Arabidopsis thaliana: one gene and its partners. The protein of the gene in region 3 interacts with the protein of the main gene of each other region in a pairwise test. Each region holds a gene or a part of one and is shown on either strand. Other genes may lie near its edges.

Evidence for each region. The genes of interacting proteins can lie anywhere in the genome.
Region 1: the proteins of TGA6 (region 3) and AT2G02160 interact in binary tests that used the Arabidopsis thaliana proteins (3 or more experiments, as listed by UniProt).
Region 2: the proteins of TGA6 (region 3) and BOP1 interact in a two-hybrid assay, tested with the Arabidopsis thaliana proteins (one study listed by BioGRID).

What each region holds. Positions count from the first base shown.
Region 1 is NC_003071.7:552,564-558,100, forward strand, and holds AT2G02160 (CCCH-type zinc finger family protein), read right to left. Parts: upstream 3,569-5,537; 5' UTR 3,337-3,568; coding exon 3,196-3,336; intron 2,810-3,195; coding exon 2,699-2,809; intron 2,602-2,698; coding exon 844-2,601; 3' UTR 523-843; downstream 1-522. Other genes in the region: EMB2794 (Tetratricopeptide repeat (TPR)-like superfamily protein), read right to left, coding at 1-62; AT2G02170 (Remorin family protein), read right to left, coding at 4,032-4,238, 4,335-4,416, 4,499-4,952, 5,035-5,537.
Region 2 is NC_003074.8:21,145,774-21,150,760, forward strand, and holds BOP1 (Ankyrin repeat family protein / BTB/POZ domain-containing protein), read left to right. Parts: upstream 1-1,841; 5' UTR 1,842-2,061; coding exon 2,062-2,532; intron 2,533-2,778; coding exon of another isoform or gene 2,779-2,856; exon of another isoform or gene 2,857-2,891; intron 2,892-3,321; coding exon 3,322-4,254; 3' UTR 4,255-4,465; downstream 4,466-4,987. Other genes in the region: SDP1-LIKE (sugar-dependent 1-like protein), read right to left, coding at 4,969-4,987. UniProt on the Arabidopsis thaliana protein: May act as a substrate-specific adapter of an E3 ubiquitin-protein ligase complex (CUL3-RBX1-BTB) which mediates the ubiquitination and subsequent proteasomal degradation of target proteins. Acts redundantly with BOP2.
Region 3 is NC_003074.8:3,904,335-3,909,100, reverse strand, and holds TGA6 (TGACG motif-binding factor 6), read right to left. Parts: upstream 2,751-4,766; coding exon 2,685-2,750; exon of another isoform or gene 2,651-2,684; coding exon 2,576-2,650; exon of another isoform or gene 2,529-2,575; coding exon of another isoform or gene 2,481-2,528; coding exon 2,409-2,480; intron 2,318-2,408; coding exon 2,258-2,317; intron 2,134-2,257; coding exon 2,056-2,133; intron 1,723-2,055; coding exon 1,671-1,722; exon of another isoform or gene 1,422-1,670; intron 1,382-1,421; coding exon 1,110-1,381; exon of another isoform or gene 1,036-1,109; coding exon 790-1,035; intron 665-789; coding exon 518-664; downstream 1-517. Other genes in the region: SCPL15 (serine carboxypeptidase-like 15), read left to right, coding at 4,183-4,316, 4,405-4,550, 4,637-4,713.

The DNA.
Region 1 (5,537 bases), on a different chromosome or scaffold from region 3:
GGGCTTACATGGCGAGGGAATCTGCGATTAACGTGAAGAAAATTGCGAAGAGAACAGAACATTTTCAGGAAAAAAGTTAAAAGTGAATAGAATGAGCCTCATGGTTTAACTCAGAGACATTGTATTCTATGGTATTCAACTATTCTACTGAAGAGGAAGGAAGGAGAAGAAGAAGAAGAAAGTAGGGTTTATGAAGAACTCTGGGTTTTGTTGCTTTTTTCCACCAAGTCTATTTCTTTACCTGTTGTTGTTCTTGTTTGTAAAATAATGATTTATGGGCCTTTGGAAACGGGCTACATAGGCCCAAAAGTTATAATTCTGGGCCCAGTCTTCTTTTTCTCATAACATTTTTTAACTCAGGGTTAATTAGATTGGTCGACTAAATTCGTAAATACTTTAAAGTTGATTGGTGGAAATCAGTTACATAATTACTCATGTTATGGAAAGGGCAAAAACAATAATGCTAAAGTGGTATTACATCATTCATGGTATGCAAGTGCAAAAACAATAATGATAAAAGGTGTTAAAAGCTAAAATAAGTTATTTACTGTAAATACTTTTTAATTTGAGGAAAAAGTAATATATCAAAACAGATTAGAAAACAGTAAAACTCAGAAATATGATATGGTGTACTTGTACCATTGTTTCTTTTCTTTCTTCTCTAGTGTTACAATTTAAGAAATCACAGTAAGAAAAAATGGCGACTAAAACTCAGTGCCAAGCCAAAGATAAAAGCGACTCGTATTATTTGCTCTACGACTTCTTCTCTCCATTTGCATTAAGCAGAGAGAGAGAGAGAGAGGAAAGGAGCAAAAGCTTTTTTCTGTGTTACTCTTTCTTCTTTTATGACAACATCTCAACGGTCTTCTTCTCAATGTCTTCTTCACCCTCACCTTCACCTCCTTCTGTTGCTTCTTCTTCTCCTTCCTCAGCCGCGTAAACTACTTCTTCACCTTCTTCGTAAGCGTATTCTCCTCCCTCTTCTTCATATCCTTCTTCGTAATAGTACTCTCCGTTTAGCTCATCGCCTTCATAAGCTTGCTCGTCTTCATTTCCTTCATACACTTCCTCCCCAACAATTTCTTCTTCCTCCATAACCGTTCCTTCTTCTTCTACTTCAGCTTTGGGTTCAGAGACAACCTCGGTTTTCTCTTCGGTTATGAGTTTGATCTCATCTCCAGCTTCCTCTTTCGATATCGTCTCGTCCTTGTTGTTGTTTCTGCTACCACCAGATGCGGCCGCTTTTTTTCTCTTGAGAATCTCACTGAAAGGCAATGGAGCTGCAAATGAATCCCTTGATCGCTTATGACTATGATGATCCTCTTCAAAGCTTTTCCTCTTCCCAAGAGATGGCTCTGGCTTACTTTCCTCTCTGCTGCTTTTAGGAGCTGATTTTCTTTCGTCTTCCATTTCTCTTCTTCTCGCCCATGGAGCCCCGAAACCTCTTTCCTGATTACCACTATGGTTTTCCTCTAACCTACCCTTAATTCTATCTCGGAGTCTACCCTGAGAAGGTAACTCGCTTCTGTCCCTTCCCCTCTCACTTCTCCTGTCAAAGTGGTGACCCTCTTCGCCATTGCTTCTCTCACGAAGCTTAATTCTACCCTGAAGACGACTACTGCTAATGGAGTTTTCCCTCGGTGTATCCCTACGAGACTCTCTATATCCTCTGTCCATCGAAGAGTCAGGAGCAGCATAGTCATGGCCTCCTACTGATAATCTCATACCATTGCCTTTTCTCTGCTTAGCCAAACGATATCTCAGATCCGATTCCAGTATGTTCTCTGATCTCTCATCTTCTGCGTAAACCCTTCTGTCCAAACGATCCTCTCTCTCAGAAGAAACTCGACGATGGCCCCATCCCCTGTCTTCCCTCCGATCATATGAATCAAAACGTTGTTCACGTAATGCTTCTTTATCACCATCAGCAATTGCACTGAAATCAGGGTCATACTCTGAGTTCCCTCTCTCCTGACTTCTACGTCCATATCGATCTTCAACATGATAATACTCAGAATCTCCAGCCTCATTATCCACAAGAACATCAAACCCAGGAGACGACTCTCTTAAAACGTCATCTGCATCCTTACCATTGTGGAAACTGTTATTATCATCAGATCCATATTTCTGAAGCAACTGAGTAGAATGGCCTCCTTCAGTAAAAGAAGGGAATCCTGGACCCTTTCTCTGCACAACAGGCTCATATCCCACATGGTTTGGAATGTATCCCTCTACACTTCTACTATCCCTTAGTCCAGTAGAAGCGACTCTTGGTGCAGCCGATATGTCAGTATGTCCTTTAACCACCTTTGAGAGATTAACATCAGGAAGTTTCTTCTCCTCAGTGTTATTTTCAATTGGCTTTTTAGAACACTGAGGATCAGTAGCAGGCTTAGCTTCTACAGGATGCTGTTTTTTATACGCAGCAGGATTCGGCGTGTGCAAGAACGAACACATATCTCCTTTCATACACATGCCTTTTTGAAAGAACAGACATGGAACAGGCTGTTTTGCAACACTAGGATGCTGCGCGGTTGCATGTATTGGCTGTACAGAAACAGCAGGAGCACCTCCTTGATTTCCCAACAATCCCTCCAAAGGCTGTAAGAAAACAAAACCACAAACATAAGCACACTTTGATAATACAACTCAAGAAGCTCAAGCAGAGACTATCTATTGAGGAAGAAAGTAAACTCACAGGATGCCGAAATCCACATTTGGGATTCAAACAGTTTCCATTCAACCAATAATAGCAATCCCTCGGGTTCATACGCGCATACTCACTGTGGCGATACTCGCATTCAGGTCCCTGTAAGCAAAAAAGGAAGAAACCATAAGAATCGTTCTTCAGCATAAACATACACATCGAGCAAAAATCATATTCACAGAACATGAAAATCTCCTTTATCAGAACATCCTTATAAAGCTTTGTATATGTAATTTTCAATCTAGCTAACAAGAAGCCCTAAGAAACAACAATACTTAGAATCACGAGGTTCGAAATCACCAGATCTAAATCTCGCACCAAAATTAAGCAGATGGAGAAGTGAAGTATGTATAGATAGCTTCGAGGGACACAAAAACACAGAGAAACTTGAAATCGGGTGAAAGAAACTTGAGATCTCAAATCCAAAACCCTAATTGAAGCAGAAACTGGATAAGATCTAAGCGAAACAATAATCAAAAATCAATTACCTTCTTGCAGGTTAAAGGAGAAGCGAGAAAGTAAACGCAATCGGTGTTCCACTTCAAAGCATCTTCTTCAGCAGATGAAACAGTCTCTGATTGCTTCTTCTGCTCATGTTGCTGTTGCGGTTGAGTCGCAGGCGCAAACATTATTATTACTTGGAAATTTCTGAATCTCTCTTTCAAGTAGATCGCAAGGTTTCAGATCGAAACCCTAGGAAGATCGAAAATCACCGATTCAGAGAGAGTCCCGTGGAAGAAGAAGAAGAAGACGAGCCGCCACAAAGAGCGCACCAGAGAGAAACTCGCGACTGTGTGTGTGTGCCCTTTAAAGCTAAGCCTAAAAGTTTTTTTTTTTGGCTCTTTTTTTTTCTTATGTGATGGGAAATATCAATAGATCAAGTTCGGTTTATTTGTAATCAATCAAATACTGACACGTGGGGATTTATTATTGGTTTATTTGTTAGCCATATTGTTTGCCTTGATATTATAACTTCTGATGGAACCAGCGACTTTGGAATGTTGTGAAATAGACAATGATAAGGTGATTTAAACCGAACTTGAACCAAAATTGTAAACCGATTGGTAGATCTTTTACAATCAAACATTGGTAAGGAAATCTAACCAAAATTAAATCCAAACCAAAATCAAAACTTTGGTTTTCACTTTGGTAAGGACATCTTGAACCGAGTAATTCGAAGATCTCTCAAAACCAAAATTTGAAGATGTACAAAGCAACTAAAAGATCACAAGAAATAAGTTTTTCAAAGCTTTTATTATACAAATGATGATAGAAAGATGTGTTCTTGAGAATTAACAACATCACATTCACAATAGGATTGGATTTAAGAACAAAAGCTAAAGCAAGAGAACAACAATGAAGGTACTTTGCCTGTTCTTCGGATTTGTTCAGCTTGTTTCTCTGTTTTAGCTGCCTGATGATCCTTCTTTGCTTCAGCCGCTGCTCGCTTTTCCTCTGCTTTGCGCTCGATTGTAGCGAGTTTCTTCATCAACCGGTCTTGTGCTCGTCCCTTAATCCTCTCAACTTTAACCTACAATATCAAGAACTCCACCATCATCATTCATGTTTTTCCAAGTTTGTTCACAATCATGACTTGAACTTACGTAGCTATGTTAGTGTAGTTTACCTCGGTTTTCTTCATCTCGGCTTCAGATTTCGCCTTCTGATGATTCTCCCATGCTTGAATCTTCATCTCTTCGCGTCTGAACCTGGAGATTACAGAACTCATCATAAGCTTAAAGTTTCGAGAATAACTAGAGGACTATGACAAACAATTCAACTTTGGACTACCTAGCCATGTGCTTAGCTTTTTCCGCTTCCTCCCACGCTGTAGCACGAGCTTCAGAAACACTTTTAGAAGTTTGTAGAGAAGCTTTGGTCTTTAATGATGTGGATGCGTCTTTATCTTCATCCTCCTTGCTAGCCCAAGCAGCAATGTTAAATTTACCAAGTTGAGTACCCAACACCATTATCTCTCTCCTAGTTTTCATTTGAAGCTCTTTCTCTGACAGTTCCTTGTTACTCATAGGAGAAGCTGATGCTTGTCTGCCTGGACTTGAAGGTTCAGAAGATATAGGACTTCGTATTGGCGTTGTTGCCCTAATCGGTGTCCCGTTTCTAGAAGGTTCTTGGCTCGCTATAGGAGTCATTTCAGTTCCCATGTCTCTCATTGACACAGACCTTGCCGTTGAAGGCGGTTGAGCAAACGCAGTTGCGACTGACGAGTCATGACGGCTGAGATTAACTGCAAGAAAGCAAGTAAAATTGGCTTTAGAAGATAAATAGAGCATACAAACTGAATAACTCAAAGAGCTAGCTAACACCACCTTCAGTTGCTGATTCTACAATAGAGTTCTCAACCATAAGAACCGGTTTGACATATGAATCCACGGTAGTGTACGAATCAACTTCCCAGCTACCAAACTTGTTTCCCATATCCTTTTTCACTTGGCTTACATCTATTCTCTTTGTATCAGGCTCTTCAACCACTCTATGTTCAGCAACTTCAACAATCTTCATAGAAGACTGACGACCAAAGCTAGGCCCTTTCTTCGAACCCGGAACCTGAACCTGTCCAGTCTTCGGTCGGTTAGCCGTAGGACTAGCAATCCATTTCTGAGCATCATCCCATTTAGATGGAGCTGGTTTAGAGAATGATCTAATAGGCATTCTTTGATTAACTTTTTCCTTCTCAGTCTTTTGAAACTCAAAGACAGATGATGCAGAAACACTCTTGATCTCATTCACATTATCATAATCAGAATACTCTTGAAGACCCAAACTAATCGATCTAGCTATCCCTGAAGTAGAACAATCAGTAATCTCACTC
Region 2 (4,987 bases), about 17 Mb from region 3:
TAAAACATGACCAAAATTTAGAGAACAATAATATTTGTTAGAAGATTTTTACTTATTCATATTCAACTTGTATAATATATATTATTGACGAATAAAAGCTCCTGAACTTAATTAACGTTTTTCTGGGTAATAAGTTTGCACGCCTCTCCTCTGTAACATAATCAATTATCATCATGGTCCATGGACATGAAGGTTTTATTTTTATTTTTTGGTTCGGTTAGAGAAACTTCATAATCATTTACGTTCTTTTCAAAATCCTAATTTTTATGAACATGTAGGAAATAAAGAGATTATGTAATGTGATGTAGGATAAAAAGTGGGGAAACAAGAGAAGAGACGGTCAGAAATGGACCAACGGTCAAACACCAGACCATCAAATCACATTCACTTAAGTTAGTACAGTGGAGACTTTCATTGGTTTTGCCTTAACGAATTAGGCCAATGTTCTTATCCATCACCGTCCTGTCCAGTTTACCATTTTATCCCATCTTTATACATAATTATATTAGCAATTTAATACGCATGCATATGGGTTCGAATAGTGATCATGGTTGGTCTGTTCTTTTTCTGCGATAAATGTGGTGAATGCTTTAAAAAAAAAAAAAAGTTTCATGGACGTGTCGTGCCGTGACGACTGACGATGGCACACATATAAATGCGACACACACGATAAAACATTGTAAATATGGTCGATCCAAACCAACAGGAGAAAAATAAATCGATTCAAACCAACAATTAAAAGAATAATAATAGAAATTACCCTAAAATATGACACTTATTAAATTTTTATTTCAAAAATACGATAATTAGTTTATTTTTCTAATAATACCACAAATTTTTATGTAAAATATTTTTATTCAATCAAAAGAAATTACAAATAAAATTAAAATATTATATTAAGTTTCCTATTTTCAATTTAAAGTTTGTATTTCCTCCATTTAAGTAGAGTTTTGGAAGAAAAACTCAAAAATGTGGTATTTAGAGAATTTCCCCAATTTTGAATGTTAAATTTTTTTGGTTGAGATCAATTAATTTGCTTAATTTCTCTATCATTTTACTGCACAATCTTTCGACTTCATCACCATTATACTAAAATGCACAATTATATTCTTATGGTATCTCTCTAACCTTAGTTTGCCCATTAAAAAAAAAAATGGCATCTCTCTAATCTCTAAACCACTTTTTTCATCGAAGTAGTCCTCATTTTATTAGCATTAGGTGACGCAGACACCCCATATATATGATGAAAAAAAAAAAATATATATATATACATGTTTTTATGTTATATAATATGATATCGTTGATTAAGTTTCACGTATGTCGTGAACCAAGCCAAAAAGACAGTTGCCAAAGGCTCTTTTTCATGATTTTATTTTCCTTGCAACTAATTTAGTTCGTGATTATGTATACGACTAAGTGTTACGTGACACACGGGGTTGATTTGGGTCCATAGTTAGTCGGTAGCTAATGATATTTACATATCTTATGATTATTAAAATACTTAAATCTCTCTCTATTTCTTTCTACTTTTATATTCACAAAACTAATCATTTCATCTTTTATATTCGATTGCCCCCAAATGGATACGGCCCATACTTCTATGCTTAACATACCCTTTTCTCACTTTGTCATTTCTCTCTAAACTCTAATTACTGATATGCTTCTGATGACAAAAAAAAATCAAATACTACAAAACTCCAAATGCTAGTGGCCAATAAATAAAAGCACAAACGTCGACATTAATCATTTTATTATAAATTTAATTCGAGACCCCCCGGTCCGCCCATTCAGATCTCTGTCTCTTTCTCTCACTATATCTATCTATCTACCCACAAACCAATCTTCTAAACACTATAGTCTCTCTCTCTCTTCTTCATCTTCTCCATAAGCTTCTAAAGATATATAAAAGCTTGTGACTCTTCTTCACTTAAAGAAATATTTGCTTACGAAAGAAAACCCTATTCTATATATCCTACAGCATACTAAAATCAAAGGGTACGACATTTTTTTCGTTCTTTTAAAACCCTAATTTGTTGTATCAAAGAAATCAACAAAGGAGCTATGAGCAATACTTTCGAAGAATCACTCAAATCTATGTCATTGGATTACCTAAACCTCTTAATCAACGGTCAAGCTTTCTCCGATGTCACTTTCAGCGTCGAAGGCCGTCTAGTCCACGCTCACCGTTGCATCCTCGCTGCTCGTAGCCTCTTCTTCCGCAAATTCTTCTGTGAATCTGATCCTTCGCAACCCGGAGCTGAACCCGCTAACCAAACCGGATCAGGAGCCAGAGCAGCCGCAGTAGGAGGAGTCATACCGGTTAACTCAGTCGGTTACGAAGTTTTCTTACTTCTACTTCAATTCTTGTACAGTGGTCAAGTCTCAATTGTACCACATAAGCACGAGCCAAGATCGAATTGTGGAGATAGAGGATGCTGGCACACGCATTGCACTGCAGCCGTCGATCTCTCTTTAGATATTTTAGCCGCCGCTCGCTACTTTGGCGTCGAGCAGCTCGCGTTGCTTACTCAGGTACTAATTATCTTTATTTAGGTTAATGATTCTTGTTCTTTGATCTTGATCTTGGTAAACTAATCTACGGATTTGTTTTAGTTTGGTTCGGTTGAGATGAATTCTGAAACTCTATATATTGATCATGATAAACATTTTTTTGTTGAAGACTATTAACAATAAACATATGTGGATATATAGATAGGAGTTGTTATTTTCTTGATTTCATGTGTAACTAAGCTTAAAGATTGCTTGCATTGCACGTAGTGCAACTTTCTTTCCAGATTTAGACGGCAATGGACTGATGTGTTTTGCACACCGAGAAATTTCCTTAAAATGGAATGATGCTTTTATTTTTTTAATATACATACTCTTTATTTAGTAGAAAATATCTTCTAAAATAGTAACTTGGAGAAAAAAACAGTGATTTTATTAGTAGTCCCAAAAATTGAGAATTGTCTTAATCATTCATTCTGCGATTTTGCATGATATTAGTAATCGCATATTTGTGAGGATCGCTGTTTCCGTTCAGCATTCCCGCAATTTCTCAAATGCAATGACCTAATTTAAAAGAATTTTATCATTTTATAGGCTTTTAGTGTAACTAGATTTTTCTCGCTTAAGCAATTTTGCCATTTCATTTTGTATTCTTCTCCATATATAATAATCTCTTGAACCATAGTCGCGTGAAACAACTCCTTTATAATGAAAATGATATTCATCCAATGAAATGGAAGTGGTGGATATATAGTGTCTCTAACTTCAATATTGTTTTGTCTTTAAAGCCAACTGTGTTTTTTTCCCTCACAGAAACATTTGACAAGTATGGTGGAGAAAGCCTCCATTGAAGATGTGATGAAAGTGCTCATAGCTTCAAGAAAGCAAGACATGCATCAATTATGGACTACTTGCTCTTACTTAATCGCCAAATCCGGTCTTCCACAAGAGATTCTAGCCAAACATCTCCCAATCGAACTTGTAGCCAAGATTGAGGAGCTCCGTCTCAAATCTTCAATGCCTCTCCGTTCACTAATGCCTCACCACCATGACCTAACCTCGACTTTAGACCTCGAAGACCAGAAGATCAGGAGGATGAGACGTGCATTGGACTCCTCTGATGTCGAGCTTGTGAAGCTAATGGTGATGGGAGAAGGACTCAATCTAGATGAGTCCCTAGCTTTGATTTACGCGGTTGAAAATTGTAGTAGAGAGGTTGTAAAGGCACTTCTTGAGCTTGGAGCAGCTGATGTGAACTATCCCGCGGGTCCCACAGGGAAAACCGCTCTTCACATTGCGGCTGAAATGGTGTCTCCGGACATGGTGGCTGTTTTACTCGACCACCACGCCGACCCTAACGTCCAGACAGTGGATGGAATCACTCCTCTCGACATCCTTCGAACCCTAACGTCAGATTTTTTGTTCAAGGGGGCAATTCCTGGATTGACTCACATTGAGCCCAATAAGCTTAGGCTTTGTCTCGAGCTGGTCCAGTCCGCGGCATTGGTTATATCACGCGAAGAAGGAAACAATAACAGTAACGATAACAACACAATGATCTACCCTAGGATGAAAGACGAACACACGAGCGGAAGTAGTTTGGATTCAAGATTGGTTTATCTGAATCTTGGTGCTACAAATCGTGATATTGGAGATGACAATAGCAATCAAAGGGAAGGAATGAATCTGCATCATCATCATCATGACCCATCAACGATGTATCATCACCACCACCACCATTTCTAGGTCTTTTTGTAGTCCCTATCATCCTTTTTTGATAACCATCATCCTTTAATTAAGATAAACATATTCAATATCTAATTAAATTGTTGTTATGGTATTCTTTTTTTCTCTATGTATATGGCCATGCGAACAAATTTAAACGTTAACTCCATGGAGTCATGGAGAGTGGAAGGGAACACAAACAAAAGGGTCATTTATATATAGATGGATAAAGATCTTGAGTTATATCTTGACATGTATAAGCTTGATTAATATTAGGTCGTTGGATTTACATTATTCAATTTTCTTATAATCAAACAATGCATTACAGTGATCTTGATCGTAGCATTTCCTTTCCTTTTGGGTAAAGTGAGGCTAAAAAAAACAATAATAGCAAAGAAAAAAAGCCAACATTTATGGAAGTGTCAATGTCATCACCACTACAATATGTACATTAGTGTATTCAAAGACAAACAACAAATGGTCGGAGCTTGTAACTTTGTAGCCATATGAAAAATACAAATCCTGCAATAATATAATAACATTACTTCTGCTCCGAAGGAAAAAAATAGTTTGGTGAAACTTGAAAATTGAAGAAGCTTTGTGGCTAAAATAAGATTTTCTCAAAACTAGAGGACTACTCTACAAAATTTTGAAGCACTGTATAGGTTTTGCAACCTAGTCCTTTAGAAGAGAGGAAATTCTCTTTGACTTGGTCAGTCATAAGTGTCTACAGTGTTACTCATGGTCATGGATT
Region 3 (4,766 bases):
ATGAGTATTTTCTCTGACTCAGGTTGGTTATACATAGTATTAGCCAAACCTCTGTAAGCTTTATGTGTGACAGTGTTTACTGGGCAATCTTGCTATGATTTCAAGATACACAATCTGCTCTCTTTTTTGAACTCTCAATATAAATTGATTTGGTCTGCTGGAGTTTATGATCATACAATCCAAGTTCCTGAAAGGATCCCATCTTCTGTCATGTTGGTAATTGCGACCTTACACTGATCACCTATCCGCTTTGAATATTCAAAGACCTATAAACATTCACTCTATAAAACTATGCAACCTGATGGCTAAAAATTACAACACACACAACACTCGAGTCTTGCGGACCTCAGGAAACCAATTTCAAAACCTGCAGTCTTCTTTCCCAAAATATTGCTTTTGGTAAGAATCTGAGAATGCCTTGCTTTGTGATCGATCTCTTGGAAGGAGTATCCCTGCCGATCTGAGTCATAAGATTATGTATAGGGCTGACTGCTGAGTAGAGCACTATTCTTCTGTTTCACTCTCTTGGCCGGGCAAGCCACAAGGAACTAAGAGCACGTAATCGAGATGAATAATCGTGTATAGCAAGAAGAGCACGAGCTGACTGACGTGTTGTTAATACTCGAAGCATCTGTTGTAGTGTTTGCAGCCTCAAGTTATCAGCCTGCCACCAAGAAATGCCCTATGAACTCCATAACAGACGGATTCATATATAAAATAAAATATTTATCTCTTTGTGACGATGAAAAGATATGGTATATCTCGATAACATCCACATTTCTAAAGTACCTGGCGTATGAATCCTTCGAGGGTGCCTAACTGCCCCATTGCCATGGCCATCTGACCCATGTAGCTCGCGACATTATCCGATGAACTGGAACCAAGAGTTCCACTGGATAAAGTATCAGCTAGGGATTGCTGTAAACTCTCCATCCCTTGAGATAAAGCATCTTCTGCCTGCTGCGACGTCTGCTGCAAGCTATTGATGCCCATTACCTGTCGTTCTGTCATGGGCTCTAGCTGATTCGCAAGAAGCTGTTGTGAAAACACTGCGACTCATTAAGTTGGCTGTTCATCAAAATCTCTCTATGGACTTGGAAAGAGCTTACCTTGAGAAGTTCGGATGAGCGGAACCCGCCAAGCCACAAGAAACATCGCTCAGCTGGTGTTTTCCACATTCCAGATAACAAGTGGAAGACATCATTCTTAGCTGCATTGCTCTTAATCCTGAAAAGCTCCTCATAGTGAGCCATCACTCCATCCACAATTATCCGGAGCTCAGTATCACCTGCATGAGCATTCAGGGCAGATCTCAGCTCGTTCATTTGCCTGTTCTTTTCTTCAAGCCATCGTGAGTGTTCTGCATCAAATGCCAAAGCCCCTGCAGAAAGGCAAGTATACTAGATCAAGAACAAACCCTTGCAGACCTAAGCTAACACCAGCGCAAACTATAAGAAACTTCAGTTTTGACATCACCATGACTTTAATTTCCCATCCAGATCATCACTGACTCTTGAAACCATTAACTCTAACAAGTGTAAGCATATTGCCATGAGATGACTTATGCTATCACCAATTCATCAACATATATGTATATATGCACTTATCTCACATAGAAATTTCAAATCAAAAGGATCAATCTCAAAACTAACAGAGAAGAAACAACCCACCATTGCCACCAGTAGAATGAGCTTGGTCTCCTGAACTTGAGATGAAAACTCCCTAAAATTGAAAAATATATATCCTTAAGTGACAAATACACTGTCATGAGTCATGACAAAGAATCTGATAAGAACCAGAATAGAAATTCTCTGTATGCCATCAACATCCGAATAAACAGACCAGAAGGACCTATTTCGAGAGAGTTACCAGCTACTTTTACCCAACTAAACTATGGATGACCCATAATTCTGTTACCTCCTCTACTTCAGCTAACCCAAGACTAGTACTAACTCGTAACTGACTGTTAGTTATAAGTTGAAGTAGCTTCAGCCTTTTATCTTCTTTATAAAGACATACATATCAGAATCAAAACAAATAAGAAAGTTAATAAACCTGCTGTCTTGCTCTTTGCAGCTCCTGCTCAAGTTGAGTCAGCTTTAATCGACTATTCTCCAGCTGCTGAACATACGCCTATGGAGGAAACAATAACATGCTTAAGGTAATGACAGATAGATATTCTTCTAGAGATATTACAAGGAAATAAGAGGAATATATAAGAAAAATCAAAACAAGAACAAAAGCAAAATATACATACCTTCTTCCTCAATCTGCTTTTTCTTGCTGCCTCACGATTTTGAGCAAGCCTACGAAGGGTCTATGGATCAAAACGAAAAGGAAACAAAACAGATTATGCATATGCGTAATATACACAGATGCTAGTTGATCCACAGAGATGAATCTATCACCTTTTGATCCAACTTATCCTTTGATCGATCACTGGAATCAGAGGCAGCAGCATGCATATGCCCTCTATCAGACTGCATGTAATCAACATCAGGAATTACTGTTTCATTCAAACTATGCATGTTTGATGAACATAAGCAAATGACTAGTCCTGTGGATTTGGCTATACCGGTAGAATGCCCCAAGTTTTACCAAGGGATTCCGGTACAAGCCTCCCAGGAGTGACATTGTAGAGATAATAAAACTATAAAATGATTAGAGCCAGATTACGAGCTAACCCCCAGATCTCTATGATCTGTGTCACCATCAGTTGAGACATCAGTCCTTGAACTGGTATCAGCCATACTAGTTTCTGTACTAATACTTGAGCAAACACTATCCACTTGTGCTCCCTTTTGCAATGATAACCTTTCACCTCTGGTGCAGAGTTTCACACTAGAGGGAGGAAAAGCTGCCAAGAGGAAAGAGAAAAGATGATTATGAAAGAAATTAACAGATAGCAGAGAGAGAGAACTGCATCAGTTTGGAATTTGGGCACACTCACAAGTATCAAGTTATTGGCTCACGGAAACCAGCTTAAGTCACACTGCAAGACAACGGTTCAAGTACTAACATGGACTGAAACAAAACAGCGGATTCAAAATCTAACACAAGCGAGAACTAAGCTTATAACACAAGCGAGAACTAAGCTTATAGCAGCTGATCACTCAAACCAATAACTCATCACCAAGGATTCAAAATCTATGACTCTTAACAGAATTCAACAGACACATGAAATTCAAAGCATACTAACATTTGAAATCCATAAGGATTCATCAAGATAATTCGATGGAATTTGGTTGCTGAAAACGTCATCAAATGAACAAAAAAAACTTGAAACTTTATAAGCTTCTGAAAGTCAACTAAGTCTTAATTTCCAAAGGCAAATCACAAAGTGAGAAAAAGTAAGCTTTCCAATGACTAAAGTAAAACAAAGAAGGAGGAAACTTCAAACAAAAGAAAAAGAAAAGAAAAAGGAAAGAAACAAAACCCAAAAAACAAAAGAGCTTGAGTTGCAGAAAGCAAGAAGCTCACCTGAAAAAAACTGAAATCTCCTGTCTGAGTAAAAGGTTGTCCGAAATCGGATTGAAAGAAGAAGAAGCAGCAGAGACACGATCCGTAATTACAATCTCTGAGACGTCGATTTGTCTACAAACCCACCATCCCAAAAAGAAACATCGACAAATTTAACGGGAATTTGCAAACTAACCCCCCATACTATTCTTGTTACCCCTAACGAACTCTATAGTCTTAGCTTTACAAATATTACCCCATACAAATTTATTGAACCGGTTCAAACTGTCAACCGGTCCGGTTTTCTAGGCAATGCTGAAATCATTAAACAATAATTTGTCCTATGTCATGTGCAATAAAATAACCTGCAAAGCATTTTACATGGGACTTTGTCCCTTCTGGCCTTCCACGTACATTCTCACGTCAAGTGCCCAAGTGTTTTCAGCTCAAACCCTCAATTTCAATTCGTTAACCAGTTGGCAGTTGGTAATTGAAGGAGAAAACAAACTCTAAACACCTTTACATCCAAAGGAAAACTAAACAGATTAATTGGAACTGGTTAGAGAGACTAACCCGAATTGTCTCGGGTATAGATATTGCAATTGACCGGTTTATAGAACCATACTCAACCGAAAAGATTCCATCTTTGTTTTGGGTCAACGCCTCTGCTTTTGAGTTTTGAGTATATATAAAAAATGTTAAAACTCAAAAACTAAAACAAGAATGGCTTCCTGGATATTCAAGTTGCTGCTGCTGCTGCAATGTGTGCTTGTGTTGATTCAACATGCTGATTCAAGTTCTATCATCAGATATCTTCCTGGTTTTGAAGGCCCTCTTCCATTCGAGCTCGAAACCGGGTTCTTTTCCTCTGCATTTTCATTTCCATATTACCCCTATAATGTATGTATGACGCTGTGTTCTGAGTTTTAGAGTTACATAATGAAGGTATATTGGTGTTGGTCAAAAAGAGGAAGATCAACTGTTCTACTACTTCATCAAATCTGAGAACAATCCAGAAGAAGACCCTCTTCTTGTCTGGTTAACTGGAGGACCTGGCTGCTCTTCTTTCTCTGGTCTTGTTTATGAGAATGGTAAAATAAAAATCTCTTAACTCTTTCTCATTTGTCGTCTCTGCATACTATTCAGTAACTTGTTTGAATTGAAAAACAAAAATCAGGGCCACTTGCTTTCAAGGTTGAGACTTACAATGGAAGTGTACCGACGTTGGTTTCTACCACATATTCATGGACTAAGGTAAAACACCAGTTTTGTACTCCTGATTACAAACCCAACTAATGAAACTCTTC